Linked DNA regions of Ovis aries. The protein of the gene in region 1 interacts with the protein of each later gene in a biochemical or structural test. Links are inferred from orthologs where the notes say so. Each region holds a gene or a part of one and is shown in the gene's direction. Other genes may lie near its edges.

Region 1 (15,564 bases):
TGAGACCCAGGTGTTTGGTCGGAGGGTTCTAGGAAGGCTGGAGGATGGAGGAAGGAAGATGACCGGGGGAGGATTAGGCTTTCTGTTTGTTTCGGTGAGGATGGGAGCAGGGCAGGTATCCTTCAGAGGCACCCCTTCCCCTACCCACTTGCCTGCTTTTTGTCCACAAATAGCGTCGCGTTTGAGGATCTGCTCGCGTGGCCTTGAAGTTTAAAGCTGGATTCGTTCTTGGGGCACCTCCCATCTTCCTCTCCTTATAGTGTGCTTGAAATGCGATCTCTTAAAACAGTGGATTTTGTCGGTCGAGGCCATTCCCGTGATTGTGGCCGTGTGAGAGACTGGCAGTGCTGACGCATCCTTCTTTGTTTTCCTTTTTTATCTTTTTTACAGCTATTTGCCGACAGGGCTGTAGCCCCAAGCATGGGTCTTGCAAACTCCCAGGCGATTGCAGGTAAACAACTTGACTTTTTTTTCCCCCTAATAATTATCCCTTTAATGCAAAAAGAGGACTGACTCTACTGTGAATATGCCTATCTTTCATTGGAGGACAAGAAAACTTGACCAAAAAAAAATTCAAATAAGCACATCCGAAGCTTATTAAATTATACCAGCTGTCCACTGGAATGTACATGCTTCTCTCTTGGGGAAAAAAAAAAACTTCTGGGCATAGCGAGTGACTTCATGTATTAACGGTTCTGTAAATTGATAACACGTTGTTATAATCTTCTCCTTCAAGTGCTAATGGACTGTCCAGGACTGGGTTGGTGCTGGGGGCTCTCTCCTCCCCCACCGCCGCGGTGCTCGGTCTCCCGGCCCTCCCCCACTTTTCCCATCAGTAGGGAAAGTGGAGCATTCTTTAGAATGGGATTAGCACGAGCTCCTGGCCCCTTCGCAGGCGGGAGCCGGCCGGTGCTGAGAGGTTAATGGCTGGGCTGGAATCTTGTCAGTTGAGCCTGATGAATGTAGACTTTTGCTGCCGACCTTTGAAGTCTGTTCTTTTATGGCCCGGGACAATGCAAGGAGCCAAACCTAGTCCTTCCCCCCGCCGCTTCCCGCTTACAGCTTTTGGAACTTCTTGAAATGTGCATCGCGCCCATCTGGGAAAGACTTGTCTCAGGAAGTGCTGTGGGTGTCTGTGGCATTTTGGCAGGAGCACCCGCTTTACTCCCCTCCCAAACCTGAAGGCTTAGCACATTTAACGTGACATTGCATGGGTCCTCCGGACCTGTTGTTTTCGCCCCCAGAGCCACTGCAGTTTGAGCCAAGGGCAGCTCACGAACCCATAGTCTAGAGCAGTGCCTCTCAAACTGCGCTCCCTGGGGCTCTTGTGAGGTCTCGATTCTGCGGCGGTGGCGGGGGTCGGGTAGGGGAGGCGGGGAGGTGGCCATGAGTCTCAGCAGTTGCAGCAAGCCTCCAGTGATGCCGCTGTTGCTGGAGGGACAAACCTCTGTGCTCAGTGTCATCCCTCTAATTAACCGGGGGTGTGTGGAAATGCAGGTTCCGGGGTGCCACGCTGCACCCAGATGATCCCACTTCCTCGGCTGGGCCCAGAGATCTGCATTTTGACCGGCCCACCTCAGCCACATGGTTTTGCTGCTCAGAAAGTCTAGAGGACCTCTGTGGTTGCCTGAACCTCGGGGTGCTCCCTGCTGCCTCTGCTCGCCACTGGGAGGACTGAGCTCTGAGGCTTGAGGCTGAAGTGTAGAGCTCAGGGCCACTGAGGTCAAATGGAGGAGGCTGCTCTGAGATATGTCTGTCCTTGCACTCCAGAGAGGCGGTTATGCTCTGGGAGGCCGAGGGGGTTTGGGGCGGACCCTACCAGTGGGGGCAGCTGGCACCGTCAGGGGAGCAGGCCCTGCTCCTGAAGGGTGCTCATGGGTTCAGAGCAGCCGAGCTCTCGGGCACCCGCCAGGCCTGCGTTGGACTCAGATGACTATCAGCCAGGGGCTGATTTCTGCTCCCGTCATCAGAATAAACACGCCACTGCCGGGGAGGCCCTCCCAGCCAGAACAACAGGCTTTGTCTCCAGAGCTGAGCCCTTCCTCTCTCAAAGTCTCCCTCCCACTCCTGCCTGGACACGCAGGCCCTTTCTGACTGAAGGTGTGACTTTCCCACACGGTATTTGCATAGCCTCCCACCCAGCTCCTTCCCTTTCCCTTGAAAGAAAAATGAAAACAGAACCTTCTCGAGGCCTGAGGAAGTTCTGGTCGGCCCTGCTGCTCACGTAGCTGGATGGCCCGCGACCTGTAAGTGGCCCTCTGGATGGTGGCCGAGAAGGGTGTGTTTTTGCTCTGTTTCCTCCACATGAGAGAACCTGCCTGCCTCTCTTGCTCCCCAGGCGACCTGGGTTCCTTTTCCTGGACGCACGGTCTTGCTTCATTGCGAGCCTGCCAATAATATCAAACTTAATTGTGAATCATCCTGTGAGGAAAGTCGCTTCAATTTCTCATGAGAACCTTAATCATATATTATTAAACTGGGATAACTTTGTGGATGCCTGTTTTAGGGTCAGTATTTTTATTTGTTTTCTTTTGAAGTCATCCGTGGCCTCTTGTGGTTTCTTTTTTATGCTTGGGGATCCAGTCTCTCATTAATTAAGAGCTGAGGGCAGGTCCTCAGCTGTCTCTTCTTGCATTTTGTTAAGCAAATTGAAGAGGTGTAGCAAACCCTCATTTGGGAGGGAATTGGGGAAAGACAGTGACAAGAATGCTATTTCCAAATCAACTCCCTCTTAATATCTACCTTCTAGGCTAAGAGTATCAAAAGCATCACCCTGAGCTCCCACCAACTTGAGGGTCCACTTTTAAAGAAATTGCTACCAAAGCATTGACTTTGTTCTTATTTTACTCCATTAAATAGTCATTTGTCATTTAGACTGAAGTTTCATTTCAAATCAACCGGAATCCTGTGTCTGATTTTTAAACCACACATCCTGGTGGTTCTCTGTACTGGGGCGTGGATGGCTTGCTCTTAGAAGTTAGGAAGTGGTTAGTCAGAATTCTCAGGGGCTAAGTTGACTCGCGGCCATGGGTGATTAGCTATTAGCTGGATCCCTATAATTTTCCCATGACGAAGGTTTTTAGCTTGCCTTCAGCTCTCTGGAAGCAGAAAGCCTTTGCATCTTGGGGTGCTTGTTTTCCCAAGTTCAGCTGAGTGGGAAGGGGGAGACAGTTCTGACACGGCTTTCGTGGGCCCACCGTGGAAATGCTTGCCTGTCACTCTCCCTTGCTCACCCCCCCCTTCACTCTGCCATGGGGGCCCCCTCCCCTCTGCTCCAACCTGTTTGCTGAAGCTGGATTTCTGAGAAGACACAGTTGCAGAGGGCTTGAAACCTGAGGGAAGAGTAGCTGAGCCCTGCCCCAGGTGAAGGTGTGTGCTTCTGGTTTTGTTTGAGGATCAAAGGCACTCTATGGCCTCCAAAGAGTCCGATTAGTGATGCGCTTATTTACAAAGGAAATGCACCTCCATTCCCCAATACTGGATAAACTGAGTTGACTTGGTTTTTGCAAAGTGAGAAATAACTGCTATAGAATAAAGAGCATAAGCAGCCACGATGATGGGTCATAGGTCACTCACAGAGCTGGCTCTGAGCACTGTCCGCTTTCCTCGCTGTCCCTGCAGACATGTGTCCAGAGATCCAACCCCATCTCTGCGAGGAAGGGTGCCCCCTCCCTCCGTGTCCCGTCTCAGGACGCCTCCTTGGGAGGCAGTTTCCTGCCACCCTTGACATCTTGATGCCTTGTTGTGTGCTGGGGTCATGACTTGCCCTGGGAGGGACTCCAGTGGAGCTGCGGTGTAAAACTCGCCACCTTTGCAGGACTTGTGCGTGGCTGCTGTCACTGGAGGGCGAGCCCTCTCCCCCGCCCCCAGGGCTTGACTGATTCCCCACTCTGGGCTCCTGTGGGAACCGAGAAGAGAGAGGGGCTTTGTGCAGGAAGGCCCTGGCACGGGCCTCTCCCTAGACAGCCTGCCTTTTGTCGGGAGTCACCTGGGCCTGGGAGGGGCCCTCGGTCCCACTGTGAAAATGTTTGTTTAGAGGGAACCGCTGGACGGACCTTGAGCGTCCACCAGGCGGTCACCAGAACTAGCGAGCCTGGGCTTCGAGCGCTTGTGTTTCCCGGCTGGGCTCTCCCCGCCAGCTCTGGAGGGTAAGGGCTGGCGTGCTGTGTGTCCCCAGGTGCCAATATGGCTGGCAGGGCCTGTACTGCGACAAGTGCATCCCGCACCCCGGCTGCGTCCACGGCACGTGTAACGAGCCCTGGCAGTGCCTCTGTGAGACCAACTGGGGCGGCCAGCTCTGCGACAAAGGTGCGTCCACGCAGGGGCTGGGTTTCCGCTTATTCCGAATCTGCTTGAACTTGCCTTTAATGCTGTGAGTTTGGGTTTCTTTCTCTTGGTTTTAGTTTGTAAAGAGGAATGGGTCTTGGAATGCAGCAGGTGGGCGGTCTCTCTGATCTTTGAGAGACTTCTTTGGGGTCTTTTTGGCAGATCTCAACTACTGCGGGACCCACCAGCCGTGTCTCAATGGGGGAACTTGTAGCAACACAGGGCCTGACAAATACCAGTGTTCCTGCCCCGAAGGGTACTCCGGGCCCAACTGTGAAATCGGTAAGTGGTCTAGGCACAAAGAGAGCCCCTTTTCTACTTTTTGTCTGCTCAACTCAAATACACTTAGAGACTTGGAAAAGGTGAAACTCTCCTCCGGTGTTAAGACCTGTGCTCCCAGCAGCTCCGTGGCTCTCTGAAACCTCCCTCCAGTTGCTCAAGTGTTTTGGGTGTGGCTGATTGCATTGGGGCGGCGTGTGCAGGGCAGTGACCCATCTCCCAGTCGGAAGCTGGGAGAAAGGTGACCAGAGCTTAGCGAGAAAGATGACTTCCTTTTTCCCCAGACACAGCGAGGTTGGGTCCCACGCTTGCTTTCATTTCTATTTTTTTAAGTATTTATTTATTTTAAATTGATGATTGGTTTACAACATTGGTTTGATTTGTTGATCATACATCAACATGAATTAATATGCTGTACATGGGATTCCCTGGTGGCTCAGACAGTAAAGCGTCTGCCTGCAATGCGGGAGACCTGGGTTCGATCCCTGGGTCGGGAAGATCCCCTGGAGAAGGAAATGGCAACCCACTCCAGTATTCTTGCCTGGAGAATCCCATGGACGGAGGAGCCTGGTGGGCTGCAGTCCGTGGGTTCGCAGAGTCGGGCACGGCTGAGCGACTTCACTTTCACTTTTCTTTCACGTATGTTAACACAGGTGTGCATATGTCCTCTGCCTCTTGAATCTCCCTCCCACCCATTTCCACCCCTCTAGGTTATTACAGAGCCCCAGCCTGATCCCTCTGAGTCATTCAGCAAATTCCTGTTGGCTGTCTGTTTACACGTTAGTGTATATGCATCATTTCTTGAACAAGCTCAAGCTGGTGGCCTGGGGGTGGGCTTTGGGTGGGGTGGGTGGGGGGCTCGTGTCCAGTAGCCTCTTGGTGGGCGTCCCATGCTGATGGCCCTCTGGTGTCCGCAGCGGAGCACGCCTGCCTCTCTGATCCCTGCCACAACAGAGGAAGCTGCAAGGAGACCTCCCTGGGGTTCGAGTGTGAGTGTTCTCCGGGCTGGACTGGCCCCACATGCTCCACGAGTAAGTCCGGGCTTTGACCCGTGTCCTTTCTCAGTGTGGGGGTGGGTGTGTGGTGCGGGCCGCGGATCACGGTGTCGAGATGCAGACTGTCGAGGCTCCGTGTCATCTCAGTGCCAGGTCTGTCTCCGTGGGAGGGGGCAGATGTGCTCCAAGGTCTGAGCTGAGCTTCCGGCCCTGCCCGGGGAAGTCCCCAGGCTCACCTGTCTGAGGCAGCCCCTTAAGTCAGCATGTGCAGCTCTGACGGCAAGAGGCTCCCTGGGAAAGTTGTTGCTCCCTTTGCAGGTGCCCCCTGGAGCCCCGCCTCCTCTGGGTTGGATCCTGGGGGCAGTGCTTCTCCTCAAAGCCCTGCAGACGCCACCTGTGGGGGAGGTTGTCACTACTGAAGTTCATCATGGGGACAAACATTTTCCAAGAGGGACCAGGGCTACCAAGCTACAGATGTGTGGGTCCTACCGTTTGCCTTGGAGGTGGGGAGTCTGTAGTCCTTAACAAGCCCCTGGATTCCTGGGGTGTCGCCAGGCCTGAAATCCTCTGTCATCTACTCCTGAGAGCAGAAGGCGACACAGTTAAGGACACACCCCTCCAAAGGCCCTGGAGTCCAGTGCAGAAGTGGGAGGTTGGGTACCCCAGGCATGTTATTTTGGGAGAACTTTGTGAGCAGATAAGAATGTGATCTTTTTTACCAGTGAAGAAAGTTATTTATCCTTACCACTCCTTAGCTACCTCTGAGCTGCGATGAAACTTTTCTTTAGAAATAAAGGTGGGCAGAGATGCTGTCCCAAATTACCAAGGGCTGACGCCCAGGAATCCAGCTGGCTCTCCGCCTGCTTAGGTCGGGGATTAGATGAACTGGGCCAGTGGGGGATTTAAAGCTAAAATCGGGCCTTACCGTCATTGTGGCTGTGGCTTCAGGTGCCTGGCTCTTAAGTGAAGGTCCCTCATGTGAGGGGCGGTAAACTACCTGATTGTCAAGTGGACTGAGATTACGTTGCCAACCCTCTCCTCTCTCTGTCGAACAGACATTGATGACTGTTCTCCAAATAACTGTTCCCACGGGGGCACCTGCCAGGACTTGGTTAACGGATTTAAGTGCGTGTGCCCGCCCCAGTGGACTGGCAAAACGTGCCAGTTAGGTAAGAGAACTCCCGCACCAGGGTTAGCGTGAGTCCTCCAAGCTGTTAGGGAAGATGCATGTGACCGGCGGTGCCAGTTCACGCGCCGTCCCTCCCGAGAAGTCATTTATTATCAAGGGTCGCGCCAGCGAGCCTGGGAGAAATCACTCGTATGCAAATAGCCTGGCTTTTGGAGGCCCTGTGGGAAAGTCGTGGGATTCCTCGAACCATGTCAATCGTCTGTCCGAGAAGTGTTCAGCTGGGTTCCAAACGGGGATGATCTCATGAGGAATGAGCTGTCTGCATTCTTTCTGCCACTTTTAAATCCCAGCAACTAGGCTGCGCTGGGTTCTGCACAGAAGTGCCTGGTGCTTTGTGCCCTGTGGTTGGGGGCTGGCTGTTCACAGCAGCTGGGAAGTGATCAGTCAGCATGCCTTATTGGATCATGGCTAGGAGGATTCAGATGTTCCAGATAGTATCTCTTATTTATCAAGCTTATTGAAATGTCTCACTTCAGACAACCTATTGGTGGCTTCTTTTGTGGGTGTGGGAGGGTTGGGGTTGGGGGTAGAACCCCATTTCTCACTGTTCATCCTCTTTCTTTCAGATGCAAATGAATGCGAGGCCAAACCTTGTGTAAATGCCAGATCCTGCAAGAATCTGATTGCCAGCTACTACTGTGATTGCCTCCCAGGCTGGATGGGTCAAAACTGTGACATAAGTGAGTGATGTTCTCAGCACTTTGACTTTCATGACGCCAGGGTGTTGACGCTGTTGGCCAGCTACCTATAGTTAGGCTCCAGGTTTAAGACTTGAGGAGCAGAAGGAAAACCTTATAAAAGGAATGTTTTTGGAGAGGGAGTGATCGGTGAAAACATACTTGTTATCAGGCTCATTAGCGGGTAAAACGGCCGTACACTGATAAGGTGGTTAAAACAATGATGTGAAGTTACAGTAGCTCAGTCTGGAAGAATTAGGGAGTGTTCCCACCCAGTAATAACCTTATCTCATGGGAAGCACACAGGAAATCTGATTGGAGGTTTTTAATCTGTCCTGAGAGGAGAAGGCTTTTCAATTAAGCCCAGTTTCAATGTAAATTGCCCCTCTGACGTGATGGCTTGTTTATTTTTTAGATATTAATGACTGCGTTGGCCAGTGTCAGAATGATGCCTCCTGTCGGGTATGTAAACCTTTGCTTCAGTCAAAACCTTACTGATTGACAACAAGCCTAAAGATTGATGGGACCCCTGGAAAGCTCTGTCCCTGGGGGATTTTAAACTGCAGATGAAAAGTGAGGCTCTGGACGCTTCACCTGGGCTCATGTTACCCCAGCCTCCCTCCCGGGAATCATCTTGACGACATGCACATAGAAAGTCCTCTCTCACGTTTGGAGAGGCGTGGCCTCTCTCTCAGTGAATCAGCTGAACCAAAACAGTCATGCTGAACCACCGAAGCCCTGTGTTTGTGCAGCACCTAGAAAAAAATGCATGTGTTTCTCCCCCTCCTTCTCCTCCTCCAGGATTTGGTTAACGGTTATCGCTGTATCTGTCCACCTGGCTATGCAGGTGATCACTGTGAGACAGACATCGATGAGTGTGCCAGCAACCCCTGTCTCAACGGGGGTCACTGTCAGAACGAAATCAACAGATTCCAGTGTCTGTGTCCCACTGGTTTCTCTGGAAACCTCTGTCAGGTGAGCCAGGCTGCAGCGCGAATGGCCAGGTTTTCACAGATGTCTCCTCCTCTGCCTCCATCTTCCGACTGTCTGGAGTCTCCTCTTGACTAGGATCTCTGCGAGATAAGCCGTGAAAGGAGACTGATGAGTGATTGTCTTCCGGGTGTCTGTTGATTTCTTTATTTTTCACTGGAGGATGATTGCTGTGCGATGTCGTGTCTTCCGTGCAACAGCGTGAATCAGCCATAAGCACACGTGTCCTCTCCCTCGTGAACCTCCCTCCCGGCCCCCCACCAGCCTGTCAGTTTCTTTTTGTCAGTTTCATCCCAGACCCAGCGCTCTCCCACTCTGCCCTGCTTTTTCAAATGCTTACCTGGACAGTGTCTAGGACACAGCTATGAATACTGCTGCGTGTCCTCCTGACGGAAGCAGTTGAAAGGGTCACATTCTGGGGGCTGCTGCCCCAGAGGAGTCATAATCAACGCCTTTGTTTTACTTTGTTCCCTGCCTGATCCCTGGTCCCACAGCTGGACATCGACTATTGTGAGCCCAATCCCTGCCAAAATGGCGCCCAGTGCTACAACCGTGCCAGTGACTATTTCTGCAAGTGTCCTGAGGACTATGAAGGCAAGAACTGCTCCCACCTTAAAGACCACTGCCGCACCACCCCCTGCGAAGGTAGCGCTCTCCCCGCTGAACGCTGGCTCCTCTGCGAAGCTCCTCCTCCTCTCTGGCCATTTGTCACTGCCCTGGGACACTCGAGGCGGGTGTAGATTGATAGCCCCTTTGGAGGGAAGCCAGAACACGTGGAAACAATCTACCCAGGCCGCCAGTGGAGGGGCCATGCCTGCAAGTAGCCTGGGGAGAGAAGGAAATTCATTTAGCATCCCATCCTGGGATGGGCTGGTCTGCAAGCAGAGACTTTCCCTGGGGCACCCACTTCAGCAAAGCCTTCTGCCTTGGTGGTCTCTGTACCAGCACATACCAAAGCCTCAGGCCACGTGTGGTTCAGGGCATTTAGAGAGCGATCGGGGCAAGTAGAAACCCTGATTTACCTAACCTTAATTCACTTATGTAACTAGCGCCTGTGGCTGTGTGAGGTGGCTCAGCCCATAGGTTCTGTAAGTCCGTCCTGCAGCCGTGCGTGCCCCTGAGTGGAGGGGAAAGCCGTTCCTCCTCGTCAGTCAGCTTCTAGCAGAGCTGGCGGATGTAGCAGGAAGGGTGGACAGGGCCTGCATGCATGAGCTGCTCGGCTCCACAGGGAGAAAATGCCTCAAAAAAAAAAAAAAAAACTACTCTCCTGTGCGTGGAGTGTCGGCTTTACCTGTCACAGTGTATGCAGCACATGGCCATCTTGGCCCCCGAGGTGCCTTGTGGCACTTGCCTCTGGGAGAGCAGGCGGCCTGGGTCCTGGGTTCGGGGACGAGGGTCCCTGGTGGGGCGCTGAGCCCGGGCCTGTCTTGCAGTGATTGACAGCTGCACCGTGGCTATGGCCTCCAATGACACGCCGGAAGGGGTGCGCTACATTTCCTCCAATGTCTGCGGCCCCCACGGGAAGTGCAAGAGTCAGTCGGGAGGCAAGTTCACCTGTGACTGTAACAAAGGCTTCACCGGAACGTACTGCCATGAAAGTAAGACCGCGTGGCGTCAGGGCCGGGGGCGAGCACCCACCCTGCCTGGCCTAGCCGTGGGGGTGGGGGTGGGGTCTGGATCCTTGTAGGCGAGACCAGCCCAGGGGTGCCGTCCAGGATCCAAGACCGAGGTGGTGCTTACCTGAGATCACTGATGCCCCTGGGGTCTCTAGCACATCTGTTTCAGAAGGTTCTGAAACCTTCGTAGGTAGGGTGGTCCTCCTTCCGCAGCCGTTTCCTCCTGACTCTCACTGAGGAGCTTCGTGTGAGGATGTCCAATAGAATGGACAGGTTGCCCTTTGGAGGCCCCTGCTTCCCCAGCTGCCTGTCAGGTTCCAGGACGGTCCTGATGGAGTTCAGTGTGGTGGTGCCGGGTGGCTCTTCTCGGGAGGAGCTGGAAACGCCTGGGAGAGTGCTGGTGGTGGCATCGCTCGTCCTGCATTCACCCGGGTTCTATGTCCCCTCCTTCCGCAGACATTAACGACTGTGAGAGCAACCCCTGTAGAAACGGCGGCACCTGCATCGACGGCGTCAACTCCTACGCGTGCATCTGCAGCGGCGGCTGGGAGGGCGCCCACTGCGAGACCAGTGCGTCGGGCTCCCTGGGGATGGCAGCGCTGGGGGTGGGCGGCGGAGGCAGCCCAGCAGGCCTTTCCTTTTAGTGAGAATGTCTGGAAGCAAGGCCCCAGCAACTCCTGCCCTGGGACGGGAGAGCCTGTGTGCTGTTAGCATTCGGTGGTGCTCATGCCAGCCCGCGGGAGGGAGCTTCTGTGGAGATGCTTTGAGAATTAGCCCCTGGAATTAGCATGCTTGACATCCTGGCTTACAAAGAAAGGGGTCATCTTTTCCGCCCATCCTGAGTTTAACTTCCATGACTTGTCCCGGGCTCCTTTATTCCTGGGAAAGGCTGCCCCTGCTTAAGTCCCGGCTTGGCTGTGCTGGTGTTTGAACTGGGAGTGGAAAATGGGATGAAGGTGGAGAGACACGCCTCTTACATGTCGTGGGGCGTTGAAAGGCCTGGGAGTGTCTTCAGCTGGGTGTCTGCTCTCACTGCAGACATTAACGACTGCAGCCAGAACCCCTGCCACAACGGAGGCTCCTGTCGCGACTTGGTCAGTGACTTTTACTGCGACTGTAAAAACGGGTGGAAAGGCAAGACGTGCCACTCACGTAAGTGGGGGCCGGCGGGGACCCTGGCCTGTGTCGGGGGCAGGGAGGGCGGCCGGGACTCAGGCCGATCTCCGCGTGCAGGTGACAGCCAGTGTGATGAGGCCACATGCAATAACGGTGGCACCTGCTATGATGAAGGGGACGCTTTCAAGTGCATGTGCCCGGGAGGCTGGGAAGGCACGACCTGCAACATAGGTATGTTCCGCCCCCGCGGGTGCGGTGCGCGCAGGGCATCCGAGTGCCTGGGACCGCCCTCCAGGGCCTGTGTTTTGTCCCTCCCGAGGTCTCTGGAGCCTCAGGGAGCATGGTCTTGTCTGCTCTTGTCTCACAGCCCGGAACAGCAGTTGCCTGCCCAGCCCCTGCCACAATGGGGGCACCTGTGTGGTCAACGGCGAGTCCTTCACGTGTGTCTGCAAGGAAGGCTGGGAGGGGCCCATCTGCACGCAGAGTAAGTGTCCCCCCGACCCCGAGCTCTGCAAGGGCCCGTCCTGACCCCTGGGGCTGGCGATGGAAACCAGAAGCAGAGCTGTGTGATGGCTCCGTGCACAGCACCTGGGCCTGTTCTAAGGCCTTGATGGGAGGCAGCCCTGCCCTGGGCATGAGAAAGTCACCCACGAGATAAGTGGACACAGATGGCGGCTTGCTTTCTGGCTCTGGTCTGACCAAGAGCCATTCTCACAGCCCCCTTCCCGGGGCCTCTTCCTGTGTATGAGTGTCCCATGGTGACTGCAGCAAAGTGTGATGTGGGCCTGGTTCCAATTGAGCAGGGGTCTTAAGCTCCTCCTGCTGGCGTTAATGACAGCCTTATCATTTGGGTATTGTGGAAATCACGGGTGCTTTCACTTAGGGCTAAGAAGGCTTCGCTGTTAAGTTTTTGAATTTTTTTTTTTTTTTACTTTGCAGACACCAATGACTGCAGTCCTCATCCCTGGTAAGCATAGCGCCTTGTTATGCAGGCACTTGTTGGCTGTGACAGGTGTGGGCCTCTCCTGGGCCTCCTGTGTAAAATCCAGCTTCTGATTCAGGAGGGCTGGGGGTTGCTGCAGATTCCTTCTTTCCGACAAGCTCCCAGGCAGTGCCCATCACTCCAGTCTGTGGGCCACACTTCAGTCAGATGGTATCTGCGTTTAGAGCAGTGATGCTCAGACTTGGCCGTACACAGGAATCACTGGGGAGGGTTTAGTGCCTGGGACGCAACTGGAGCTCCTGCAACCAGGAATTGTCAACTGGACACTCTGGGGGTGGGACGCAGGCACTGGTGCCTGTGGGCAGGGCTGAGAGCTGCCCATCATAACCGGCGTGGGGCCACCCTTGGCGGGGGGAGTGGTAGACAGGGCGGTGGTAACCAAGTGGCCTTTGTTTTCGTAGTTATAACAGTGGCACATGCGTGGATGGTGAGAACTGGTACCGCTGTGAATGCGCCCCCGGCTTCGCTGGGCCCGACTGCAGAATAAGTAAGGACCACCTCTGACTGGTATCTCCCCAACCCTTAGTCTAAGAGTTTTCCTCTCTAAAACAGTTATGGCCATGGTTCTAAGTAGCCTTGACAATTAGTCTCCTGCTTCCAGCTGGGAGTAAGATGCCCCTGGCTGGACTCTCCCTCCCACGTGCCTCCTGGACTTTCCCTGGGGCGCACAGCCCCCCTCACTCCTGGGGAGAGAGCCTCAGCCACAGCATCTGATGGTTAATCTACTCTGAGGCTCTAAGGAAAGTGTGCTGCTCCTGTGGTAGCATGAAGCGATGGGCAAGGATGCATAGCCCCAGACCTCAGCCACAGGAAGGGCTGAGGCTGTGGTTTCCAAGGCTTGATCAGGCCCCACTGAAATGATTCAAACAAAATGAGGTCAGGAAATCCAGTTTTTTTAGGAAGTTTAAAGTTTATTCTGAGCCTTTTCCCTACTTTTTTACATGCCCTTTCTTTTGCCAAAAAAAAAAAAAAAAGTGATCAGTTATGCTTCTTTGTGTATGTTCTTATCCCTCAATAATTATTTAAACTTTTAAACTGGTCCTCCTTGAGGTCCTCAAGTCTGGATCTTCAAGAACTACTGGGTGGGGGAAAAAAAAAGTGAAAGTGAAGTCACTCAGTTGTGACCAACTCTTTGTGACCCCATGGACTGTAGCCCACCAGGCCCCTCCATCCATGGGATTCTCCAGGCAGAAATACTAGAGTGGGTTGCCATTGCCTTCTCCAGGGGGTCTTCCCGACCCAGGAATCAAACCTGCATCTCCAGCACTGCAGGCAGACTCTACCGTCTGAGCCACCAGGGGCCCCACTGGGTGGGGGCTTTGTGTCTATTTCATGTTTCTGAATCAAGGATTGGCAGATTATGGCCTGGGGGCCGAATCTGGCCCACTGCCTGTTTTTGTAAATAAAGTTTTATTGACCCACAGCCACAGTCTTGTTTATGTACTGTCAAGGGTTGTTTTCATACTGCAAGAGTTGAGCAGTTGTAACAGAGACCACATGGCCTGCAAAGCCTAAGATATGCTTGCTGGCTGACCCTTTATCAAGATCTTTGCTGGCCTCTGTTCTCTAAATTACACTATCAGAAAAGGAACATTTAATTAAAAATTGCTTTTTCCCCAAATGAGAAATTCTCAGCTGTTAGAAGTCAGGCTCGTGGTGAGCCTTGGGAGGCCGTGACCGGACACTTAGGCAGTACTGATGGTCATTTCTTCATTTGGGTGCTGGTCACATGATGAAAATGCACTCAGCCTATACTTAGACCTACAGATCTTGTCTGTGTGTTTTATCAGAAGAGCATTGGTGCCTCCCATTGGAGCCTAAACTTGAACTCCATTTCTCCTAGACATCAACGAATGCCAGTCTTCACCTTGTGCTTTTGGGGCGACCTGTGTGGATGAGATCAATGGTTACCGCTGTATCTGCCCCCCAGGGCACAGTGGTGCCAAATGCCAGGAAGGTATGTGGGCCAGGTCCTGCTGTCGTGGGTCCCCTGGGCTGAGTGGGCATTGCAGCCACCTTTTCAACTGTTCATGTGTGGACACTGTGCTCAGGGAGAGAATACAGAGGCCACGTCTGCTGGAGACACCCAGGACCGGGAAACCGGAAGGTCCTTTGAAAGCAGAGTCACTGTTAGTTTTAGCCAGCTCTTGTCACCATTATGCTCTGTAATAACCCTCCCCAACCTCTGTGCCTACAGCAGGCAGTTGTGATGTTAGTGGGTACACAGGGCAAGCAGAGTGATGGATGCCTCGCGCTGGGCACCTAGTTCTGTTCTGTGTGCCACCCCACCCTTTTTGGACCGGCACTGTACCCAGGGCGTGTCCTTTTCCTGGCAGACGGCGGGCTTTCAAGGGGCCAAGCTCACTCCCAGGGGGAGACTCCGCTCACTTCTGTCCCTGGACGCTGCACTGATCATAGCTGGTCGCGTGGCCAGGTGCAGGGCCCGCTGAGGGGGGAAGAATGCTTGCCCGCTGAGAGCAGCTGCGCTGTCACGGGGCAAAGGGCGACAGGCCTCAGCATCTCCCGCTGGGCAGGGAGTGAAGAGTCAGGAGGATGGTCCACAGAAAGGGCAGCTCCTGCCACTCACGGGTCCCTGCCTCAGTTTCAGGGAGGTCGTGCGTCACCATGGGGAGCGTGATACCCGACGGGGCCAGGTGGGACGCTGACTGCAATGCCTGCCAGTGCCTGGACGGGAGGGTCGCCTGCTCCAAGGTAGGCACGGCCTGGCCGCCCTCATCCTGGGGCCGCGCGGACCGCCGCCGGGCACCTCCTGAGCTGCGCTCTGTCTGTCCCTGCAGGTGTGGTGTGGCCCCCGCCCTTGCTCACTGCACAGAGGGCACAGTGAGTGCCCCAGTGGGCAGAGCTGCGTGCCCATCCTGGACACCCAGTGCTTCGTGCACCCCTGCACCGGGGTGGGTGAGTGCCGGTCCTCAAGCCTCCAGCCCGTGAAGACCAAGTGCGAATCTGACCCCTACTACCAGGACAACTGTGCCAACATCACGCTCACCTTCAACAAGGAGATGATGTCGCCGGTATGGGACACTTCTGGCTGGCTCTGGAGAGGTGGGGTGTGTCCGCTTGCCCTAAAGCAGAGACATCACGAGCTCGATCTCTTCCTTAGCCTGGATTCTTGTCCTTCACCAAAGCTCAGCTTGCACGCAGCCTCCCTTTCAAGTAAACAGCAGTCTTTTTTCGTTCCGCTCCCTTACACACGTGTGGATTTTAAAATATCATTCTAGGGTCTCACCACGGAGCATATTTGCAGTGAACTGCGGAATTTGAATATTTTGAAGAACGTTTCTGCCGAATATTCGCTTTACGTAGCTTGCGAGCCTTCCCCTTCTGCAAACAATGAAATGCATGTGGCCATTGT
Region 2 (15,564 bases), on another chromosome or scaffold:
AGTAATCTGGAAAGTTGAACTCTGCTACATTCTGGGCTTATTATATCCAGACATCCCCCCCTTCCAGTTTTAAAGATATATTACCTTTAAGAACTTTGGAATCTTATTTTAAAAAAGGGGGGGAGGTAGATTTTGAAATATGGAAAACACCTAGGTACAGCATCAAAAGAGAAACAATCCAATACCAACGTCATATGTTTGAGGCAACCCTGGACAGAAAGACTATGAACAAATCTGTCGTCTCACACTGGTCATGATATGCTTGAGAACTAGAAGACCACTGACTCCTGTTCCTTTCATTACCTCTGAGGCTTCCTTTATCTGGAAGTGCTGATGAGCCCTAGGAAGAAAGAAGGAAATACACGAAAGGAGTGGAAACCACCTTGAATTGGGGTCCCATAGCCAGAAGTGGCGGAGAAGGCAATGGCACCCCACTCCAGTACTCTTGCCTGGAAAATCCCATGGACGGGGGAGCCTGGTAGGCTGCAGTCCGTGGGGTCGCTGAGGGTCGGACACGACTGAGCGACTTCACTTTCACTTTTCACTTGCATGCACTGGAGAAGGAAATGGCAACCCACTCCAGTGTTCTTGCCTGGAGAATCCCCGGGACGGGGGAGCCTGGAGGGCTGCCGTCTGTGGGGTCGCACAGAGTCAGACATGACTGAAGAGACTTAGCAGCAGCAGCAGCAGCCAGAAGTGGTGTTTCTGTTTTCCACACCTGGGAATTGAAAAATCCTTTGACTTCAATCACAATTATGGTGGGAATGTTAAGCTGTGGGGGTTTGGTATGTTTGCTTTAAATTTTTATTGGAATATAATTGCTTTGCAATGCTGTGTTAGTTTCTGCTAACACAAGCTGTGCAGGTAGTGCTAACATAAGCTGTGTTTTAAAACAATGCCGATAAGGTTACAGAAAGGCTGGAACATTTTAAAACAGATGTCACTGATAAAAATTCAATATAAACTGCAAATCGACATTTTTAAAAATTAATTTAATTGGGGGCTAATTACTTTACAGTATTGTGGTGGGTTTTGCCGTACATTAACATGAATTAGCCATGGCCCCTGTCCCAAAAGTTTTTCCTTTTAATTTTTATTACAATATAGTTGATTTACAGTGTTGTGTTATTTTCTGCTATACAGCAAAGTGAGTCAGTTATACATATTCATCAATCCACTCTATTTTAGATTATTTCCCCATGTAGGTCATTGCAGACTACTGAGTTAAGTTCCCTGTGCTATACAGTAGGTTCTTATTAGTTATCGGTTTTACCTATAGTAGCATAGATATGTTAATCACTGTTTTAGATGTATTGGCCTGGTGTAGCCTGTCCAGGCTACTGTAACCCCACTCCAGTACTCTTGCCTGGAGAATCCCATGGACGGAGGAGCCTGGAAGGCTGCAGTCCATGGGGTCACTGAGGTCGGACACGACTGAGTGACTCCACTTTCACTTTTCACTTTCATGCATTGGAGAAGGAAATGGCAACCCACTCCAGTGTTCTTGCCTGGAGAATCCCAGGGACAGGGGAGCCTGGTGGGCTGCTATCTATGGGGTCGCACAGAGTCAGACACGACTGAAGCGACTTAGCAGCAGCAGCAGCCTGTCTCATGAAGTAGACAGTGTTAACAAAATGCAGTGAATTTTTGCTAAATGCTTTTGACTTACGAAAGCTAAAGTGCCTTTAAAAGAGCTTAGGTGTCGTTTTCTTTTTTTTTTTTTTTGAGGAGTTAGTCATTTTTTGTACATATCTTATTTTGTGAGTCAGTTCAGTCATGTGCCATTTGCACTTATTACTGTAGATAAGACAGATGAGGGAACTGTCCTGAGTGGATGATGGGCCGAGGATGTTGGGATCTGGCGTGTGCCTTCCTCATCCTCTCTTGTCCCCTTAGGCTTAGAACTCAATTCTCACACCTCTTGCTCCCTCTCTAATCCTTTGACTAGCTCACATCCCAGTAGTATCCTGTTCAATAACCTGAGTTACTGCTTCCACCTTTTAAAACCCCCTTTCATTTTCTACTCTGAGGTCGTCACTGTGAAACGTTCGTCGACATGTGTCCCCAGATGCCTTGCCTGAATGGAGGCACTTGTGCTGTGGCCAGCAACATGCCCGATGGTTTCATCTGTCGCTGTCCCCCGGTGAGTGCCACAGTGCCTACTGAATTCCATATAGCCTGTGACAGAGCCGAGACGAAACCTGGCATTTCCGAGCTCGGTGGGGAGCTTTCTTGGTGGGGACGTTTCTTAATGTTAGCCTCTTTAGGAGAAAGTACTTCCGTTTTCCTCTTAAAACTATTAAAATACTTCGGGAAACAGTGAGCTCCCTGATCTGTGACTGTCAGTCCTCAGAAGCACTGAGGGCAGTGGGATATTCCCTTGGGAACAGGGCTAGTGTATTTGGCTTCTGGGTCTTGTGCTGGAGGGTGGTCTTGCCGCCCAGACTGGGACAGAGTATTGGAAATGCTACTCTGCTCACATCCCTCGACAGCAGTTATTTGGGAACAGATTGCTTCTTCAACTAGAAGGAAGTCTTAACGTTAGCCATTTGCTCTGCAAACACTTTTGCTCCTGCCAGAAGCTAAAAGCTTCCTAATAGATGAGTAGAGGGATATCAAAAGGAAACCTGTCCAGTAACCTTGGCCTGGACTGAGCCAGGCGTCCAAGTACGAAATGACATAGGAAAGTCTTTTAGACATCTGATCCTCTGAAGTGTGTTCTTTCCCCTGTAAAGTCACTGTATGAGTGATCTACTGATGATTTGGAAAGGTGCTAATAGGTTCAGGGTCACCTTATCCTAATGTGAACTCCGGACTTCATTTCTAGAAGCAAGCTCTTAAGAGTAAAAAAGTTCTGTATTCATCCTGGAACCACCACCCTGACCTGTAGGTTGACTTGAAGAAGTCTCTTCCTATAACTCGGTCCAGGAGGCTACCTGGAGGGATCTTACTCAAGAGCCTAGTCTTTACCTCCCTAGAGGTGTGGCGGTGAGGGGCCCAGGGGAGAATGGGGCCTGCCCTCACGAGTCACCTGCCATCCTCACTCGTCCACTGATTCTCACAGGGCTTCTCTGGGGTGCGGTGCCAGAGCACCTGCGGACAGGTGAAGTGCAGGAGAGGGGAGCAGTGTGTGCACACGGCCTCGGGCCCCCGCTGCTTCTGCCCCAACCCCCAGGACTGCGACTCGGGCTGCGCCAGTAGCCCCTGCCAGCACGGGGGGAGCTGCCACCCTCAGCGCCAGCCTCCGTACTACTCGTGCCAGTGTGCCCCGCCCTTCCGGGGCAGCCACTGTGAACTCTACAGCACCCCCACCAGCACCCCTCCCGCCACCTGCCTGAGCCAGTATTGTGCCGACAAAGCTCGGGACGGCATCTGTGATGACGTGTGCAACAGCCATGCCTGCCAGTGGGACGGGGGGGACTGTTCCCTCACCATGGAAGACCCCTGGGCCAATTGCTCCTCCCCGCTGCCCTGCTGGGAGTACATCAACAACCAGTGCGACGAGCTGTGCAACACGGCCGAGTGCCTGTTTGACAACTTTGAATGCCAGAAGAGTAGCAAGACATGCAAGTAAGCGCCCAGGGTCCCCAGAACTGAGGGGCAGCGCTGTCACTAACACACCTCGGTCTCTTGTTCTTTTGCTGCTAACCACTCCAGTGCTTCTGCCCAAGCCACCTCCGCCTTCTGGACTGGCACCAGTTGCCCTCTTCTCCCTGGTGCCACCCTGCCCCATCACACACTACCCTGTGCTCTCCCTTGCTGACCGAGGGGCAGAAACGCTCACTGCACAGCCACTCTCTCTCTGCCTGTCTCTGCTTCCTCGCCTGCTGCTGTCACAGGTTCCCAGGGGAATGGACTTTTGGAAGTGTTACCCACTGTCAGGCAGCCTCTCACATAATCTGCCTGCAGCATGGTTGCAAAGGTCTGTACCCCTCTCTATTCATCCCATGCCTTTCCCTAAGACTGGGTTTCCCCTCCAGACTTATCGGGAAGCATCTGCTAGATTAGTCAGCTTAACCCTCCTGGTCTTCACTGCTGCAACTGTAGGGGGCTTTGTGGGTTACATAATAGCTTTCCATTTAGTCATCCCATTTGGTTCAACCCTGATTAATTCTCAACAACCTTGTGAGGCATAGGTGGTGTTAATGGCCTTTAACAGGCCAGGGAAGGGAGACTTGGGAAGTTCAAGAACTTGCCAGAGCAGATACAGCTCCTCCTGACTCCTGATCTCACTGAGCTAGAGTGGCAAGTTGGACCGAGTGGTGTAACCATCAGGGATAGGAGTGAGGAGGGAGAAGGGGTGAGTGGAAATCAAACGATTTTTGCATCAACGGGCTTTGGGAGTCAGTTTCCATTTCCCAATGTTTGAAAGATGCTGTATGAATTAGATCTGGTATCCTGTGTGGGACACACTTCTCGCCACCTACCTTCCACAGTAAAGATACAGTCTTGATTAGAAAAGAAATGGGCCATATCAAATGGGCCAAAGGTCAACTGTACAGCATCTCTTGTTGGTATGGGGCTACTTTCCAGTTTGTGGAAGCACTCTCTAGAGTCTTGTTTTACTGCTGGAAGCCCAGAGACAATGGATATAAAAATAAAGAAAACATGAGCCAGGTATTTTTGTTTCAGATTTGTTTACAAATCTGATTTAACATGATGACAAGCTGCCTAGGGGCCCATGAGTTTAGTGAGTAGCTTTGTTTCTCATTCAGAGAGCACTCACTGATGCTAAGGTGTATAGACTGTATATACTGTAAGCAGTCAGGCACGGAGAGTCACAGAGGCTTCAGAGGACTTTCAGGATCTAATCTGAGCTGTAGAAGATGGGTAGGAAAATCCGCATTAGTTCCAAGTGGAAAACAGAGTTCCACTGTAATCTTACCATGTTCTCTGCCTCCCTCTGCCTAGATATGACAAGTACTGTGCAGACCACTACGAAGACAACCACTGTGACCAGGGTTGCAACAGTGAGGAGTGTGGCTGGGATGGGCTGGACTGTGCTGCGGACCGGCCAGAAAACCTGGCAGAGGGCACCCTCGTCATTGTGGTGCTGATGCCCCCTGAACAGCTGCTCCAGGATGCCCGCAGATTCTTGCGGGCACTGGGCACCCTGCTCCACACCAACCTCCGCATCAAACGGGATGCACAGGGGGAGCTCATGGTCTACCCCTATTATGGTGGGAAGTCAGCTGCCATGAAGAAGCAGAGATTGACACGCAGGTCCCTTCCTGGAGATGAAGAACAGGAAGTGGCTGGGTAGGTGTCTAATTTCTGAACTTAAAGCTTAATTTTATCAAGCTGAGCACTTTGATACACAGATATCATAACTGCAACTGCACCTATCAAGATGGAAGGTCAGAAAACAAAACAGTCAACCGAATAACACAAGCCTGTAATACCAGTCTTTACAGTCAGTGCTCAAGGTTTGCCTTGATCTTGGAATCCTGAAAAGTGGGCTGAAGCAAGTCAAGTGGCAGGACGTCAGAACGGGCTCCTCATGTGCTAGAATCTAACCATTTGCCAGAGTTGGCGTAAATCCTTCTAGTGATGACTCCTCTTTGTATTAATCCTGGACTTCTTTTCAAGGCCCTTCATTTCTGTCCCTTTGACAAGGGTGATGTTCTGCATATATTATGTCATCCACACTCAGGATTTTTTGGTATCTCACAATGTTCAGCTTGCTAGCTAGCTCGAGTACGGATGCAGAGAGAAAGGAGAGTAAGGAACAAAAAGAAAAAGGTAGGGGTATGTTTTTAGAGTAGCTGTATGTACCGTTGAATACACCGGAAGGGGGAAGGGGTAGAAGCAGCCCACCAAAGGCAACTTCACCCCATTTTCTCAATGTGTCTTATGTTGCCTAAAAGTCAAAACAGTTAGATGCAGCCAAACCAAGAACGTGAAAGTGTTAGTCACTCAGTCATGTCCGACTCTTTGTGACTCATGGACTGTAGCCCACCCTAAGTGAGAATTAGGATGTAAACCATATCTTAATTTCTGGGATCTTCCTGGAGACAGCATCCCAGAGGTAGAGAGCCCGAGGCTGAGGGTGAGGAAGCAGGTCTACCTCAGATTCCTGGGTTGACATTTTCTCGCCATTTCTCCTTGGCTCCCCACAGCTCTCAGGTATTTCTGGAGATTGACAACCGCCAGTGTGTTCAAGACTCAGACCAGTGCTTTAAGAACACAGACGCAGCAGCAGCTCTTCTGGCTTCTCACGCCATCCAGGGGACCCTGTCGTACCCACTTGTGTCTGTCGTCAGTGAGTAGCTCTAAAATTAAGGGGAAAGTGTGCTAAGGAATGCCACTTGCAGGCAGAGAGAACGGGGCACAGCTTACAGTGTGCAGCGCTCTGTTTCTCAGGGCTAGCGAGGTCAAAGTTGTTCTCTGAAGGAGTTTAGTGGGAATATTGAGAGGTGGATGTTTTGTTCACCACTTTCCCTATCTCTCTGCACTTGCAGGTGAATCTCTGGCCCCAAAACGCACTCCGCTTCTCTATCTGCTTGCTGTTGCCGTTGTCATTATCTTGTTTATTATCCTGCTGGGGGTTATCATGGCAAAACGAAAGCGCAAGCATGGCTCCCTCTGGCTGCCTGAAGGTTTCACCCTTCGCCGTGACTCCAGCAACCACAAACGTCGTGAGCCAGTGGGCCAGGATGCTGTGGGACTCAAGTAAGAGTTTGTCAACAAGCTAATATTCACAGTAGTAACAAGTATGGATAAGTGGAAAATCAGATCTTGTTGAATCATGATTTTAAATTCAGAGTTCTGGCCATGCCATGCTACTGTACTTGCCCATGATGCTGAATGCCTGCTTGTGGCTATAAAATGAGAGTCTGGATGCTTCAGTTCTGTATATATTATCACAAGGATGCTCAGCTTTTGTGATGAGACATGCCTTTGTCGTAAGCTCTTGCTTAGTGGGGAAGGAAATGATTTTTACTCAGGCAATGGGATGTAATATTGCCCATTTTTTCCCTGGGTCCTGAAAGTCTGACTGTAGCCATGAGAATGTGTGATGGCAGAAAAATTGTGAAAATTTCTATGTTCTTTTATGATATAACCCTGTCCTTTATACCTTCATGATTCTGTCATGTTAGAAATCTCTCAGTGCAAGTCTCAGAGGCTAACCTAATTGGTTCCGGAACGAGTGAACACTGGGTCGACGATGAAGGGCCCCAGCCTAAGAAAGCCAAGGTAAGCTGGCCGTGGTAGAAGCTAATAATCATTATTAGCCATTGTCTGCTCATATTTCACGTTTTTGTCCTTTGGTATCTAGAGTATCATGAGTGGGAGAGAAGGGTGGTAGTCTGTACATGTTGCCCAGGCCTTGACTATCCTAGGTTGTTTCAAAAATCAGGAATATTTAGGTCATTGATGGCCTTGGGTTACTATGTAAGTTTTTCAGAAAGAACTCTTTAAAAATAATAAAACAAACATGCTTCCTTCCTCAAATGTCAGGTTGATGGTACTTGAATAAGGACTATTATGTGTAAACACCAGTTTCTTTCATAGCCAGATCTCTCCCTTATTCTCTCTGGATACTTCAAGGGAAGGTGGAGTTAGTTAGTGGAGGAAAGCCGGTGATCACTGAGTTTAGAGGCTTTAAATCTTGATCCCTGGAAACGAAAGCCATATAGCAGTAAGAGGTACATTGGGCTGGGTCTGACATGAAAAAGGAGACCATTCACCCATAGACATACACGGCTGGGATATGCATGTATTCCACGGATATTCTGAGGAAATAAAGTTGAGGAAAACAGGCATGATGGTTAAGAAAATTACTACAGTCAGGACTGGATTCAAGTCCCAAACTCTGGCACATTATTTAACCTCTTCATGTTTACTTATCCTTAATCTGTAAGATAGGGAAAATAATAATGATTCTTTCAATATGGGTGAATTGCCTTACCTGTTTTCTATCACATACTGAATATTCTGTAAAGGTCAGCTGCTTTTAAAAGTATAATAACTATCCAGCAAATACTTCCTGAATGCTGGCTCTGTGCTGGGCATTGGGGTGGATACAGGGTACAAGGAGGCAGCCTTGAACAAGGCTTGCTCCCTGTCCTGAGGAACCTTTCAGGTAGCAGTGGGAACTGCCATGCAATGCTGTGTAAGCACCTAACATAACGCTTTGTTAAGGAGAGTGAGCAGCGTGTGTTCTTTAGGAGGAATTAAAGTCTGCGCTCTACTTGAAGGGTAGCTAGAAGTTAGTCAGTCAAAGAATTGGGAGAGATCCTGGGGGCGTACCAGAGTGATCAGGAGAGTTTACCTCTTCTTTCAGGCTGAAGATGAGGCTTTGCTCTCAGAAGAAGATGACCCCATCGATCGGCGTCCATGGACACAGCAGCACCTGGAAGCTGCAGACATCCGTAGGACACCATCGCTGGCTCTCACCCCTCCACAGGCAGAACAAGAGGTGGACGTGCTGGATGTGAACGTCCGCGGCCCAGGTTAGTGCCTGCGAGCCTTCTCTCTTCACTGTGCCATGCCCACCCCCGGTTCCACCTTATCCCTGTGTTTGCCCCACTCAGTGATCGAGGAAATCAGACTGGAAATCAGCTTGAGGAAATGAATGTCTAAGGCAAACAGGCTTACAGAAATAAAATTTGTATGAGAAAAGAGGCAGGATTTCATTTTGTTTCACCTTCTGCATGCATACATGCTAAGTTGCTTCAGTCGTGTCCGCCTCTGCGACCCCATGGACTGTAGCCTGCCAGGCTCCTCTGACCATGGAATTCTCCAGGCAAGAACACTGGAGTGCTTTGCCATGCCCTCCTCCAGGGGATCTTCCTGACCGAGGGATCAAACCCACCTCTCCTGCATTGCAGGCAGATTCTTTACCACTGAACCACCAGGGAAGCCCTCACATAATGCATGTTCAGCAACAAAAAGGGTGATTATTTGGGATAGATTTTAGTGGCATAAAAAAATAATATCCCAAAGCAGAGGAATAGAAAATTTGTTTAGTTCGTACCTTAGTGTATATAGTTTATTAATACTGGATATTTTTAAATGGCCAATTTAAAAAAGCATAGCACTTAGAAACTTGAATAGAAAAGCTTGTTTAACTTAGAGACTAGCTCCTCTTTACAGAAAGGATACTATCAAGGGAAAATCAATCGCCATTTATCACAAGAAGCACAGGGTTTTTTTCCGAAAAGAATAATTTTCTTCAAATTGAGCTCTTCCAGCAATAGGGTTAAGTGAACATGAATGTCCTTCCCCTCCTTGAATGCTATTTGGAATTTCCTTTTCCTCCAGATGGGTGCACCCCACTGATGCTGGCTTCTCTCCGAGGAGGCAGCTCAGACATGAGTGATGAAGATGAAGATGCAGAGGACTCTTCTGCTAACATCATCACAGACTTAGTCTACCAGGGTGCCAGCCTCCAAGCACAGACAGACCGGACGGGTGAGATGGCCCTGCACCTCGCAGCCCGGTACTCAAGGGCCGATGCTGCCAAGCGTCTCCTGGATGCAGGAGCAGATGCCAATGCCCAGGACAACATGGGCCGCTGCCCTCTCCATGCTGCAGTGGCCGCTGATGCCCAAGGTGTCTTCCAGGTAAAGATCATGTAAAGAGTTGACTCCTAAGGAACCTAGAATGTTTCCCCTTCATTAAGACATGTAATAACCCATTATATTTGTTCAGTGATTCTTTGAGAGAATAAGGCAGATGATAAAGTCATGCTTGCTGGATAGGAAAGCAGGAAGGGAGGCAGGCAGGCAGAGCTGACCATATACAGCTAGCTCATAGTAAAGCAGGTAACACCAGTCTTCTGATTGTTCGTCAGTGCTTTGTTTTTTGCTTGTTTGTTTTGTTTTTGATGAGGCAAAATAACCTCCCAAATGAAAAGATCAGGTGCATGACACCTGCCTCCGACTAGTGGCTGTCAGCTTCTCCCTCGAGATTTATCTGACTGTATGGGCTTCCAGCTGCTCCTTGGTGGTTTTCCTGACATGAGTTCACAGTGCACACCTGATGCCCTATTATTTTAGCCTTAAGAGGAAATTGAAAGCAATTCTGTATCGTCTTAACTTGTACACCACAATGGAGGTTGTGGTATTTTTCCACTTCCCTCTTCTTTCTTTAGAAAGCAGAGGTACATTAATTTACAAAGCCATTGTAGAGCTTGAGCACCTGTTTGTGTATTCATTCATCCTATTCCTTTATTCATTCATTCCTTAGATATTAGTTGATTGACTCTAGGAGAACCTGGACACGAAGATAGCAAAACATTCCCTGCCCTCCAGGAACTTACTGTAGAGCCTCAACTCTGATGCTTTTATGTCTGTCTTATCTTAGCTTCATTATTTTTTGTATTCAGCTGACTCTTTTCTGTACTTTCTCATATTCTAGATACTGATCCGCAACCGAGTAACTGATCTAGACGCGAGGATGAATGATGGCACTACACCCCTGATCCTGGCTGCCCGGCTGGCTGTGGAGGGAATGGTGGCAGAGCTGATCAACTGCCAGGCAGATGTGAATGCAGTGGATGACCATGGTAGGGATGAGCAGCAGGGATTCAGATTCCTACCTGCAAAGCAGGCCTCTAAGGAAAGAATTATTGCATGATCCCTAGAGAGTTGTCTCAGATCCGAACCCACTGAAGATTCGTTCATTCATTCCGTCTTCCTTTTGCAATATTGAGTTCAGAGATCTGAGACAGTGTGAAGTCCATAGATAAAGTTGGGAAGGGATTTTTAGTGAGAGTTCTTGGATCTAAGAGCAGGTCTGTGAGAGTTTTCCTGCATAAGTTCCCAGGTATACCACTCTTGTTATGAGGATATGAGAGCTGACTTCATGGAAGGGGTAGGGTGGTGAGATATTCTAACTATATATCCTGGCATGTAATAAAAAAGCAGGTTATTGTCTTCAGCATGTGACAGGGTAGATTCTGCCACACAAAGGATGTGGTACCGTAGACAGATGATCCTTTTACTTTGAGGTCTTCTGAAAGCTAGGCAGCCTGTACCAAAGTATTTCTAGAATAGGGGAATATGAAGATAATCTTTGATTTTTCCTGTGGGCCCCCAGAGAAAACTGGCTTCTAGCTGTTGTCTGAGAAGTTCAAGGTTTCCTTGTTAACCTCTTACTCTGTCTGCTTATAAAAATGTTTTTTCCTGCAGGAAAATCTGCCCTTCACTGGGCAGCTGCTGTGAATAATGTGGAGGCAACCCTTTTGCTGTTGAAAAATGGGGCCAACCGAGACATGCAGGACAACAAGGTACAGTCTGGGCTCTGAGCTAGGGGGCAGGTACAGCAGTGCCTCGGATTATGTATGAGACCATTCCTTTTCTCCTGTAGCTGCTCTGTAATAAGGATAGACAAAGATGGAAGCAGATTGGGCAGGAAATGGGTCCAGAGTGCCTGAGTGCTTGCATTGGGCTTATCCAGTGAAATGTCAGAGTTGACCCTTAGGCTGCTCACTGTGCACCAGGCTGTCCCTTTGATAACTTTGGTGTAAACTTTTCTGCCTTTCTTTGACATTTCCCTTTTTCCTGGTCTTTGTTCTGTTCGCACACACTTCCTTCCTTTTCACTTGTTTGTTCTTCTTTGTTTTCCTGATGCTCCGCGTCCTCCAGCCCTGCCCCGTTCTTGGGCTCCATGATGTTTTCCTGCTTCCTCTGACTTCCGTGTCATGCTTCCCTCTGTTGCTCACCTTATCTTCTCTTGCTCATTTCCTCTTTTCCATTATTTTGTTCTTTGTCTCAGATGTTTCGTCTTTCTTTCTTTCACTTTCCCTTATTTTTCTCTACGTGCTTTAGGTTCTTCCCCTCATACCTTTATTTCTGTTACTCCTTTTAGAACCCTATTTTGATAAGCTCAGTGCTCTTGCAGGTGAATTTATGGCTCAGGGACATGCTTTATTTCACACTTCCCCATTAAGAAAACATAGCCCTCAGTAGGGCAAAGCTGGATCTTGGGGAGAAGTAAAATAATTTTTCTTTATGTATAAATTACAGATAGCCATTCAGTACATAGGTAGGTGCACACTTTTTATCTGTGGTATTAAAATTTCATGTGGGAAGGCAGTTAGGAAAAAATGTCTAAAGGAGTGATAACAAAAAGATTGAGAAACATGGCTGTATTCTCAGGAGTGTTATTAAAATGCACTCTGCATGGGCTTTTTCTTTCTTTTTTTCTGTAGGAGGAGACACCCCTGTTTCTTGCTGCCCGGGAGGGGAGCTATGAAGCAGCCAAGATCCTGTTAGACCATTTTGCCAATCGGGACATCACAGACCACATGGATCGTCTTCCTCGGGACGTGGCCCGGGACCGCATGCACCATGACATCGTGCGCCTGCTGGACGAGTACAACGTGACGCCCAGCCCCCCCGGCACAGTGCTGACTTCTGCACTCTCACCCGTCATTTGTGGGCCCAACAGATCTTTTCTCAGTCTGAAGCATACCCCAATGGGCAAGAAGTCTAGACGGCCTAACACCAAGAGTGCCGTGCCCACTAGCCTCCCTAACCTTGCCAAGGAGGCCAAGGATGCCAAGGGGAACAGGAGGAAGAAGTCTCTGAGTGACAAGGGCCAGCTCTCCGAGAGCTCAGTGACTCTGTCCCCCGTCGATTCCCTAGAGTCTCCACACACATATGTTTCTGACACCACCTCCTCCCCAATGATCACATCCCCTGGAATCTTACAGGCCTCACCCACCCCCATGCTGGCCACTGCCGCCCCCACTGGCCCCGTCCATGCACAGCATGCACTGTCTTTCTCTAACCTTCATGAGATGCAGCCCTTGGCTCATGGGGCCAATACCGTGCTTCCCTCGGTGAGCCAGCTGCTGTCCCACCACCACATTGTGCCCCCAGGCAGCAGCACCGCAGGGAGCGTGGGTAGGCTACATCCAGTCCCTGTCCCGGCCGACTGGATGAACCGTGTGGAGGTGAATGAGAGCCAGTACAACGAGATGTTCGGTATGGTCCTGGCTCCAGCTGAGGGCACCCACCCTGGCATAGCTCCCCAGAGCAGGCCGCCCGAAGGGAAGCATTTAACCACCCCCCGAGAGCCCTTGCCCCCCATTGTGACTTTCCAGCTAATCCCCAAGGGCAGCATTGCCCAACCAACTGGGGCTGCCCAGCCTCCGTCCAACTGCCCTCCAGCCGTTGCAGGTACCCTGCCCACCATGTATCAGATTCCAGAAATGGCTCGCTTGCCCAGTATGGCTTTTCCCACTGCCATGATGCCCCAGCAGGATGGGCAGGTTGCTCAGACCATTCTCCCAGCCTATCACCCCTTCCCGGCCTCCGTGGGCAAGTATCCCACACCCCCATCACAGCATAGCTATGCTTCCTCCAATGCTGCTGAGAGAACACCCAGTCACAGTGGTCACCTCCAGGGTGAGCATCCCTACCTGACACCGTCCCCAGAGTCTCCTGACCAGTGGTCAAGTTCATCACCCCACTCTGCTTCTGACTGGTCAGATGTGACCACCAGCCCCACTCCTGGGGGTGCTGGAGGAGGTCAGCGGGGACCTGGGACACACATGTCTGAGCCACCACGCAGCAACATGCAGGTCTATGCGTGAAAGAATCTGCCTCCAGCCTAGACACAGAACTCCTCTTGTAAATGCTGCTGAGGAACAAATGAAGGTCATCCGGGAAAGAAATGAAGAAATCTCTGGAACCAGCTTCTGGAGGCAGGAGAGAGGAGGGGCTCTTTTCTTGTAGATAACCCGAAGAAGCGAGTTAATTAGCTTCACTGAGCATCTGTGGGGTTTGGGGAACATGGAAGGGACAAGGCTTCTTGTAGTCTCTTGCCCATCAAGTCCCCAAGTTCACGGAACTGCAAGATGAATGCAAGACTTGGGACCACATTTCCTCTCTTCAATACAGAGAACAAGATGGATGCCTGTTGTAGACATTCTTACAGCCTGGAGTACATTTTTCAGCCTTGGGGCTTCTGCCATATCTATGAGAAGATTCTGCAATAGACTCCTCCTGGGAGTTGTGCCCTGGAATTCTGCCAGATGTGACCTGTCTCCTGTTCTCATCCTTGGAAAATTCTTTTGACTTCATTTGGTGCTTTAATTGTGCACCTCTCTGTGGCTGGAACCCCACCTGCCTGTTCCAGGGCAGAACCTTTGTGCTTTGAATCATGCCTGCGCTGGAGGCACTTGCAGCCTCCCTTTTCTCTCCTGTTTTCCCAGTGTCCCTAGGAGCCTCACAGGGTTTACCTTTATGGTCTCAGCAGAAACCTTTCAAGTATGTTTCTTTAGAAAATGGACATAGTCCTTTCTCCTACATATCATTCCTAAAAGAAGAAGGGGAGCAAAATATTCTCCTTTGAACCCGTTTAGGGGACCAGAACCCCCTTCAAGAAGCTGCGCCTAAATTCTCTTGCCTACATGCTGGGTTCCTACAAACCTTGCCAGGAAGAAGAGTAAGGATCTTCTTTTTTTCCGTGTGTCCGCCTAGTAAGTGTGAAGGTTTATCCTTGGCAGTGTAGCTAATGTGACCCCTTTAAAAAAACAAAACCCAGACAGACCAAGGTTTGGAATGTTGGAATGACCAAGAGAGCCAAGAGATAAGCTAACTCAGGCGAGAAGCGATGACCCGCTAACCAGTCCCTGCCAGGCACTCTGTTGACTGCAGCATAAACACGTTTGTTACACGCGTTAGAACACTTGGCCTGCTTCACTCACACATCCAGCAGGTGGAGACTGTTGTAGTTGTTGAGCCTTTAAACGACATTCCCTTGCCATTTAGAAGCGAACTTTCGTCTGCTCAAGGGCCTCCTCCCCAACCCCCGTGACAGTCGTCTTCCCCTGGTCAGGTGGTCACAGTCTCCACTTCCTGACATTCCTTCTGATCCCAGGCCCCTTCACCTGTCTTCCTGCCACACTTTGTGGTCTGATTACTGGTGCACCCAGTAGGTCCTCACAGAACACCTGCATTTTCTGTGTTCAAGTGTGGGAACTAGAATGCTGGCCTAGTTTCTGTGGCCAAAGCCAGTCTTACAAGAAGGTTGGAAAGGGAGGAATTATGAGGTAGCCTTTGCTATCTTTTGCTCCCAGTTCCTTCTCTTTCAGGCAGTCATGAGATTCCCCATTAGGCAACTAACATAGACACTTACCAGGGATATTTTCCTCTCATAGAGTCACTTTCTAGATGATAATGGACAAGAATGGACTTACTGTCTTGTCATCTTCATGTTCAGAGTGTGATTGCATCTCACCCAAGTCTGCGTCCTGTATTTGTGGTCTTGGCGACTTTTTTGACCTTCTGTCAAGGACATGCATTCTATCCAACACTAGAAAGAGGAGAAAAGTCGTTTTCTTCATCTTCTCCCTGGGTTAGCTAACAGCTGGTTCTGTCTTCACGCTGTCACTTTTGCCCGGTGCTATGATATCACGACAACGGAAAACGAGTTCTTCTGGGAGCATCTTGCAGATATTAATATGTGGTCTGCCCACTCTCTGTTGGCTTCAGTGATAGTTTTCCTTACTGCCTTGCCTGAGAGTGTTCATCATTTCTTCCCATTTACCAGATTTATCTGTGGCTTCATGTGGAAACCCTATGTGTCTGTTAGCATGGAAGTCTA

The links.
Region 2: the proteins of JAG1 (region 1) and NOTCH2 form a complex in vitro, tested with the Homo sapiens proteins (2 studies listed by BioGRID). The link is inferred for Ovis aries from reciprocal best matches to the Homo sapiens genes JAG1 and NOTCH2.

What each region holds. Positions count from the first base shown.
Region 1 is NC_056066.1:3,768,699-3,784,262, reverse strand, and holds part of JAG1 (protein jagged-1), read left to right. Parts: intron 1-390; coding exon 391-451; intron 452-4,177; coding exon 4,178-4,308; intron 4,309-4,488; coding exon 4,489-4,608; intron 4,609-5,522; coding exon 5,523-5,636; intron 5,637-6,655; coding exon 6,656-6,769; intron 6,770-7,355; coding exon 7,356-7,469; intron 7,470-7,881; coding exon 7,882-7,928; intron 7,929-8,267; coding exon 8,268-8,441; intron 8,442-8,950; coding exon 8,951-9,101; intron 9,102-9,889; coding exon 9,890-10,054; intron 10,055-10,528; coding exon 10,529-10,642; intron 10,643-11,110; coding exon 11,111-11,224; intron 11,225-11,305; coding exon 11,306-11,419; intron 11,420-11,555; coding exon 11,556-11,672; intron 11,673-12,127; coding exon 12,128-12,155; intron 12,156-12,592; coding exon 12,593-12,678; intron 12,679-14,034; coding exon 14,035-14,148; intron 14,149-14,793; coding exon 14,794-14,903; intron 14,904-14,989; coding exon 14,990-15,223; intron 15,224-15,430; coding exon 15,431-15,562; and 1 more. UniProt on the Homo sapiens protein: Ligand for multiple Notch receptors and involved in the mediation of Notch signaling. May be involved in cell-fate decisions during hematopoiesis. Seems to be involved in early and late stages of mammalian cardiovascular development.
Region 2 is NC_056054.1:97,291,591-97,307,154, reverse strand, and holds part of NOTCH2 (neurogenic locus notch homolog protein 2), read left to right. Parts: intron 1-2,030; coding exon 2,031-2,143; intron 2,144-3,064; coding exon 3,065-3,570; intron 3,571-4,911; coding exon 4,912-5,259; intron 5,260-6,119; coding exon 6,120-6,262; intron 6,263-6,461; coding exon 6,462-6,672; intron 6,673-7,100; coding exon 7,101-7,197; intron 7,198-8,287; coding exon 8,288-8,456; intron 8,457-9,267; coding exon 9,268-9,569; intron 9,570-10,365; coding exon 10,366-10,513; intron 10,514-11,138; coding exon 11,139-11,236; intron 11,237-12,160; coding exon 12,161-13,549; 3' UTR 13,550-15,564. UniProt on the Homo sapiens protein: Functions as a receptor for membrane-bound ligands Jagged-1 (JAG1), Jagged-2 (JAG2) and Delta-1 (DLL1) to regulate cell-fate determination.